Linked DNA regions of Arabidopsis thaliana. The protein of the gene in region 2 purifies or fractionates together with the protein of the main gene of each other region. This does not show direct contact. Each region holds a gene or a part of one and is shown on either strand. Other genes may lie near its edges.

Evidence for each region. The genes of interacting proteins can lie anywhere in the genome.
Region 1: the proteins of CYCA3;1 (region 2) and AT1G55890 purify together in Arabidopsis thaliana (affinity purification with mass spectrometry, with the first as the bait; one large-scale study listed by BioGRID). This does not show direct contact.

The regions. Positions count from the first base shown.
Region 1 is NC_003070.9:20,899,456-20,903,301, reverse strand, and holds AT1G55890 (Tetratricopeptide repeat (TPR)-like superfamily protein), read right to left. Parts: upstream 2,060-3,846; 5' UTR 1,939-2,059; coding exon 742-1,938; 3' UTR 502-741; downstream 1-501. Other genes in the region: TIM50 (Haloacid dehalogenase-like hydrolase (HAD) superfamily protein), read right to left, coding at 1-139; AT1G55880 (Pyridoxal-5'-phosphate-dependent enzyme family protein), read left to right, coding at 2,162-2,359, 2,469-2,543, 2,711-2,854, 2,950-3,339, 3,444-3,679, 3,788-3,846.
Region 2 is NC_003076.8:17,291,267-17,295,560, reverse strand, and holds CYCA3;1 (Cyclin A3;1), read right to left. Parts: upstream 2,610-4,294; 5' UTR 2,335-2,609; coding exon 2,038-2,334; intron 1,964-2,037; coding exon 1,737-1,963; intron 1,650-1,736; coding exon 1,497-1,649; intron 1,417-1,496; coding exon 1,383-1,416; intron 1,304-1,382; coding exon 1,154-1,303; intron 1,064-1,153; coding exon 929-1,063; intron 844-928; coding exon 772-843; 3' UTR 537-771; downstream 1-536.

The DNA of each region.
Region 1 (3,846 bases), on a different chromosome or scaffold from region 2:
TCGACTGGGTAGAGGTGACTCCCGAATACCTAGATGTAGAATTCGTCGAAGATGCTTCCGCAGAGAAACATCTCAGATTACGAGATCTGAGCTTTGCTAATCTTGGCAACAGGCGAGATCGAAGAACAATAGACGCCATTTCCGATTTCGGCGTTTTCTTCAAACTCTGTGAATGATGAATGAATCGCAGGGTTGAAGTAGGGTTTTGGAATTGATCGGAGAAAAGGAAAATTAACAGATGGACTGTTTGGAAACAGGTTTTATGGGCTCGTTTTAACTCTCTTATCCACTGTTTGGTAGTCGGTTTATTTCTACTCCGATATTTTTCTATTTTTTTTGCTGTTTTTTTTACTTGTTTACCAAGAAGAGAATCTATTTTATTTTATTTTTGCATTTCGGGCTTTTAATAACTAATTAATGAAGTTATTTTACACTATTTATTTACCAAATAAAATGAAAATATTTTTCCAACAAAAATAATAAATTCATTCGTGTCAAAAAGAGAAAACAAATAACCAAAATTTATTAAATTTGTAGGGTTTCTTCTGCCTAAACCTCGACTACATGCTGTTTTTTGCACCAGTGAAATAAGCGAAACTACATAGAAAGAAACAAGTCTTACTTCCACAGAGGAAAGTTTAGAGAAGTAGAAAAGCCACAAAGCAACACCAGCAAATACATATAGCTTAAGCTGCTCAGACACAATTCAACGAGACACTTAGTGAGAGAGTAGCAAATGACTTACTCTTCCTGGGACGGCAAATTTAGCTTCAACTTTAAGAAATCATTGGTCTTTGCAATCTTCACAATCTCCTCAGCTTCTTCTCTCTTAGACCCTTTCACCAATTCATCAACTAACTGCTGCAACGTTGTTTGACCGACAAGATACCGCTTACTGAATGTCTCCTTGAAGAGCTCAATCGCAGACTCAAAGTCACCTGCTTTACACATAGCAGGAAGCAATAAAGCAAAGGTAGCTTTATCAGGACGATAACCATGCTTCACAATTTCTTTGTACCACGCTTCAGCTTCGTCCATTTTTCCTTCGTTGATAGATCCTCTAATCATAGCATTGAAACTGAAAACATCAGGTTTGAGCCCACTAGCCTTAAGTTCTCCAAAGAGATTTACTAGCTCTTTCGATTTCGCCTCATTGGCTAATCCAAGCAGCCTAGCATTGTAAGTCCTGATGTCTATTGCTACATTCTTCTCCACCATTTTAGCCCATATCTCTTCCCCTAGCTCAAACTGTCCCTTTAGATACGAAGACAGTAAAAGTGTGTTGAATGTAACTATATCAGGTTTTAGTCCCTTGTTCTCAATCTCATCAAGCAATGCAACAGCTTCAGGTAAAGAATCCTTCTCACACAATGCCTTAATCAAAGTATTGTAAGATACAATATCTGGTTTGATTGATAACTTTCCAGGTAACTCATTGAAAAGTTCTTCAACCACATCGAATTTCTTGGAAAGTCTATATGCACTAAGCAAGGCATTGAAGGACAACACTGACCTCTTGCAGTCTCTGTTTGGCATTTCTTCGAACACCTTCTGTGCATTTTCAAACATGCCGGCTTTTCCATACAGAGAAATGATCCTCGCCGCGAATCCCTCTTTTGACATGTCGCGGTACTTCTTCTGCTCCTCCAAAATCTCTTCGACATAGTGTAATCTCTTTGCGGCTACGAGACGGCGCACGGTTCTATCGTACACGGCTATGTTGGTCCGGAACCGCTCCGACTCACATGCCTTCTTGAATTTCTCCACGATCCGTTTGGGGTTTCGTTCGCCATTCACGAGACTGGTTAGTGACTTTTGAGGAGGCGAGATTGCGGCAGTGACTGCGGTGGGTTCGGAGACTACGGTGGCGGCGGAGGAAAAACGGCGGATCGGGCAAGTGTTGAAGGTGCCACGGAGAACGCGAGATAGAGACGACATCGTTTTGGGAGTGAGAGCAAAGGGTTTCAGCCTTCAGGAGACGAGTTTAAGAACAAATCAAATGAAGGACGCATCTGATAATTTAAAAAATGTTAGTGCCTTATTTTTAACTAAAGGAAATATTGGGGGCTAGAATAACAAATAATAGAAATAGTGTTGTTTTGCCGACGACCTAATTTTACTTCACCGGTTTGATTACGGGAGAAGGCGAGCTTGAGCTTCAATGGCGCCTGTTAATATGACTGGCGCTGTTGTTGCAGCAGCGGCGTTGTTGATGCTTACTTCTTACAGCTTCTTTTTCCGTCTCTCCGAGAAGAAGAAGAGGAAGGAGAAGTTGACTATGAGAAACGGGCTTGTTGATGCCATTGGCAATACTCCTCTGATTCGTATCAATAGTCTCTCTGAGGCTACTGGATGTGAGGTTTTTCTCGATGTTCTTTTGCTATTTTCTGTTTGGTCTGACGAACTGATAGTGTGATTTATGAGTTAAAGATGTAATTTTCATTCTACTTGTTTCGTCTGGTGATCAGATTCTTGGGAAATGCGAGTTTTTGAATCCAGGAGGTAGTGTTAAAGATAGAGTTGCTGTCAAGATCATTCAAGAGGTACACTATGATTAGCATTGTAAAGGTTTCAACTTTTAAAAGTTTTTTGATCATCATAAACCTCTCTTAACAATGTCAGTGATTGAATCATCAGCTTGGCTATTTATATTAGTGGTTTTTGAAATCGAGAAGCAAGTCCATTATGTTTTTTTTGTTTCTCTGTTTAGGCTTTGGAATCTGGTAAGCTATTCCCTGGAGGAATTGTAACTGAGGGTAGTGCAGGAAGTACTGCCATTAGCCTTGCTACAGTTGCTCCGGCTTATGGGTGTAAATGTCATGTTGTTATACCTGATGATGCTGCTATTGAAAAGGTTATATCTTTTAAATACCTTGATGATGATTCAAATTCCCTTGTATGCATTATTGTACATACACTCAAATTTGTATCGTGTTGGACTTATTTTAGTCTCAAATAATTGAAGCCCTTGGAGCTTCTGTTGAGAGAGTGAGGCCAGTGTCAATAACTCACAAGGATCACTATGTCAACATTGCGAGGCGACGGGCTGACGAAGCAAACGAGTTAGCATCAAAGAGAAGACTAGGGAGCGAAACAAATGGCATACACCAGGAGAAAACTAATGGTTGCACGGTTGAGGAAGTGAAAGAGCCTTCCTTATTCTCAGATTCAGTTACCGGTGGCTTCTTTGCAGATCAATTTGAAAACTTGGCAAATTATAGGGCTCATTATGAAGGTACTGGCCCTGAAATCTGGCACCAGACTCAGGGTAATATTGACGCCTTTGTTGCTGCTGCGGGTACAGGCGGGACTTTAGCTGGTGTTTCAAGGTTTCTTCAGGTATAATTACTCAGGGCTTATACTAATCAAAGATGTAAGAATGAGTAATTCGTGGATGTTATAAGCAAAAGAAAAACTCATAACTTGTTGGTGCATTTATACAGGATAAGAATGAAAGAGTTAAATGTTTTCTGATTGATCCTCCTGGATCTGGTCTGTACAATAAAGTAACACGGGGAGTGATGTACACAAGAGAAGAAGCTGAAGGGCGTCGGCTAAAGAACCCATTTGATACAATAACAGAAGGGATCGGAATCAACAGGCTTACTAAAAACTTCCTGATGGCAAAACTTGACGGTGGTTTTCGTGGGACTGATAAAGAAGCGGTTGAGATGTCGAGGTAGTGCTCATTCCTTTATATGTTTTGACATAACTGTTTTAGAGAGTACTGATAAAGATTTCGTAAAAGTTGGATCTTGATATCTTTCTCACTATATTATGTTCCCAGGTTTCTTCTGAAGAATGATGGGCTCTTTGTTGGAAGCTCCTCGGCTATGAACTGTGTTG
Region 2 (4,294 bases):
GAAATCTTTGGCTTAAATTTTTAGTTTTAGTAATCAAGTATTTTTATTATATTTTTACTTAAATGTTTTTTACTTATAAAGATGTCATATTTGAAAGAAAAATAATAAACACTAAACCGGCCGATTTAGCCGATTAACACCGATTTTTAACGCCTAAACCAGTAAGCTGATATGATTCACGGATTTCATGAGTGCATAGGCAGATGCCGGTTACTATCTATGCCTAATAGTGAACAGGTGCAAAATATTGGTTTGACAAGAAGCGACTTCTCAAACCAATCTTCTTTTTCTATATACAACCTAGTGGAACCTAATAGTGAACAGCTGCAAAATATTGGTTTGAGAAGTTTTTCTTTGACTGATGGCGAGTTCTAGTGTGGATGTCTGGATGACGATAATGTAAAACAAAGATGGAGCGTTGTTTTTATCAAAACGAAGAAAACTGAAGATAAGTGGAAAGCTTTGGATGTCAAAGAATGGAATATGTAGTGCACAAGATCTCAATCTTTTACGTATAGTTGCATCGGTTGGCTTAGGCATCAACCCATTAGATAGATTTATGGAAATGCATGGTTCAACATTGGTGTTGAACGCTTGAATTATAACCCAAACAAAAAAAATCATTAAGTAACCAAAATCTTTAAACATATATTAAGATCCTTTATCACACTAGTAGTCCTAAGACATGTACAAGCCAAAACACCAAGGAAAGAAACCAACGAAACCGCTACCTGGTTTTATACTATCTATGCCGATTACCAAAAGTTGTCTCTAAATGTTGACATCTTCAAAAACCGTAAGAGGCAGCTCTGGTGATACAGGCATTGTCGCTACACACTTGAACTGTATTGAACCAAATAGAAAAAGAAACATGTGAATCTCAAGAACATTGTTCTTCAAATTATCATTTAATAGTATTTAGGGTTACCTTATGCTGCTTGTATTTCTCTCTTATAGCTTCTAAAGCTCCACATTTTCTACTCAGATACAAGTCATGTATCATAGCCACACATTCTTTCAAATCACCCGCTTTGTATCTTGTGTATTCTTCCAACATCACATTCTGTTACATTCAACACCAGAGCTTTAGCTTCTTATATAAAGTAGTGAACACAGAGAATTAGAACAAGAACCGCTTTGCAAAATGCTTTACCCAGGGATGTTGTTTTGGACGGATGATGAACCTAGCGAGAAACACCGCTGAAGCAGCCACAGTAGACGGAAGAAACTTCACAGATTGATAGTCTAACATGCTCAACTCCGAAAGATAGCTACAAAGAAACTCCATCTGTAAATGTGACATCTGAAACAAATAAGAGAAATTCTTAGCAAATTTGATACTCTCTATAAATTGCAAATACCACAATTCAAAAAGAGCTTACTTCGAAATCTTCTTGTGCAACCCTTGTAAACCGTCTGCACAAAGCAAAACGCAATGAGACAATAAACTACACAAAAACATTACTCAATGAGCACCAAAAGAATCAGAATCAAACCTTAGAAACGTGTTGCTTGTAGGGTTTCCTAATTCAAATTGCAACGCAAGAAGTATATCAGCTTCCATCTTAACAATCTCTTGTTTCGTGTAAGTATTGTCTGTGATATAACAAAAGTCATCCACATTTGGAGGAGTAATCTCTTCATACTTTCTACAAATTTTTCAAAACCAAAATCCAAATAAACAAACCCACACAAAAAAAGAGAGATTCAAACAAACAAAACAAGAAAAAGCTTACGAAGCAATAAGCATTGAAGTAACTCCCAAAAGCTGAAGCCTTTGTTTATTAACAGTCTTGAGAGACAAGAATCTATCAATGTAAGAAACAGCGAGGTAAAGAGTGTCTGAGAGAAGTTTGTATTCTTCAGCAACTTCTACTAACCAATCAACCAAAACTCCTCTCATATTCGAAGTTACATCTTTCTGAATCTTCTCTATATAATCAACCAAAGGTCTTGACTTTACCTGAATTGTGTTAATCGAGAAACTAACTCAGATTGTGAAATCTAGAAATCTAGAGATGGGTTTTGTTTCTTTACCTCTAATTGACGAAGATACTCGAAGATTGATGTAACATAAGGACCACACATTTGTGGATCATCAGATCTTGTGTCAATGTCTGAATTTAAGGTTTCGATTGTCGGAATCGAAACTGATTTCTTCTTCTGTTTTGTAGTGGCTTTTCGAGATTTCTTGATGTTGGACAAGTTTGGAAGCTCTCCGAGTACGACTCTCTTCTTGTTGATTCGTTCTTTGTCTATTGCCGCTTCCATGGAAGCTTTTCTTTTTGTTGCTGCTCTTGTCATTCTCACGCAGTTCTCTTTTTCGTCGGCCATGGTTGATTGGATTCAAGAGAGAGGGATTGAGATCGAGATTAGGTGGATGAGAATGGAAGTGAGAAGGGTGAGAAAAAGAGAAGAAGCGAAGAGACATTTTTGTGATTTTTTGGAATAAAGTTTGGATTTTGGCGGTTTTTCCGAATTCTTTACAGGTTTTGATTTTTTGAAAAATGAAGCTGAATTGTGTTGGCGCGATGTTTTGATTAGAGTTTTGAGCTTCGAAATTTTCACCGGGAAATGTTAAATTTGGTATCACAGGAAGACCTAATTCGTAAACGAGGAAGATGATGATGCAAATTGTCAATGGGCTTGTTTATTGGCCCAATATGTCTTGCCCAATAGTAATGTTTTTAGGAAATATTCCCAAAAAAACCCGAACTATTTAAAATCTGCCAGAAAACTACCTGAACTTTTTTCGTTGTCAAAAAAATATACAAACTAATTTGGATTGAAAATAAAAAACACGATCTATTATTTTTTTCCGATTACCTCCCTTCGCCGTAACGACCGTTAACGGCGTTAACCAAATCGGTTAACATTTTCAATTTTATTTATAGAAAATTTCTGAAAAAACCACGACTTATTTAATATTTGCCAAAATAATACCCGAACTTTTTTTCGCTGCCAGAAATATATACAAACTAGTTTAAAGTTGAAATAAAGAGCATGATGTAGTTTTGTGTTCCAATTTCACTCACTTTATCGTAATGGTTACAAAAGGTTAACTAAATAAAAATATATTTTTTCATTTTCTTTACACGTGGTAAATAAGAGTGGCGATAAAGCCGATTTTATCCCCTTATAAACCCATAATCTATGTTGAACCTCTTTGAATCCTAGTGTTAATATAACACATCTATCCATTTCAGATATTAACCATAATAAACTGAAGAAATTAATAAGAAGAACTTTCGTTAACAAAGGGAGTATTTTTTTTTTTAATTTATTGTTGCTTACATCGAATCTAGATATACGATAGATATTTTAAAAAAATTTAGTAATTTAGGATAAAATATACCCATCAATAACATGATTTTGGTTGATATTACTCAAGATCTTAAGGTTTTAGAGGATTGCTTTAATAGTCAAGCTTTTTTAAGAATTTTTGTAAATAAAATTAACAATATTTGACAATTTGGTTAGGGAAATCGAAAAAATAAATATAGATCGTGTATTATATTTCCAATTTAAGTTAGTTTGTGTATTTTTATGACAACAAAAAAGTTCATGTATTTTTTTGGCAAATATTAAATAAGTTAGGTTTTTTTCCAGAAATTTTCTGTAAATAAAACTAACAGTGTTTGACGATTTGGTTAACGTCGTTAACGGTCCGTTACGGTGAAGAGAGGTAATTGGAAAAAAAAAATAGATCGTGTATTTTATTTTCACTCAAAATTAGTTTGTGTATTTTTCTGACAACGAAAAAAGTTCAGGTAGTTTTCTGGCAGATTTTAAATAGTTCGGTTTTTTTTTGGGAATTTTCCCAATGTTTTTAACACAACAATTTGTTTTGTCTTGCCCAATGAGATTGAACAAGACCCAAAAAAGAAAATTTTCAATTCTAAGCAACTGTTAAAAATATTTATGGCCTCATTGCCTGGTGGATAAAGCCGTTCATAGTGGTCTGATTATTGCGGAGAGAGTTTGTCCATCGCAGGGATATCATACATGTACAACCATTCATAGAAAATCTGAGTGTTGCAGGGAGAACTGTACCGTGGAATTGTTGCAGATTGTATGTAGTTGAATACCACCATCATATGACGTAATAAGAAAACAAAAACAAAAACATCTATAGCACTAAAAATAAAAAATGTTACAACAGAAACAAAGATTTTTATGGAATAAATTTAAGAATTCTTAAATTTGTATTCTGAAAAGAATCTATTTAATAGAAAATTGGTTGAGAAAATTTAGCTAAATTTGTTTTTTTTCCCTATCCTTATAAAACTAAATC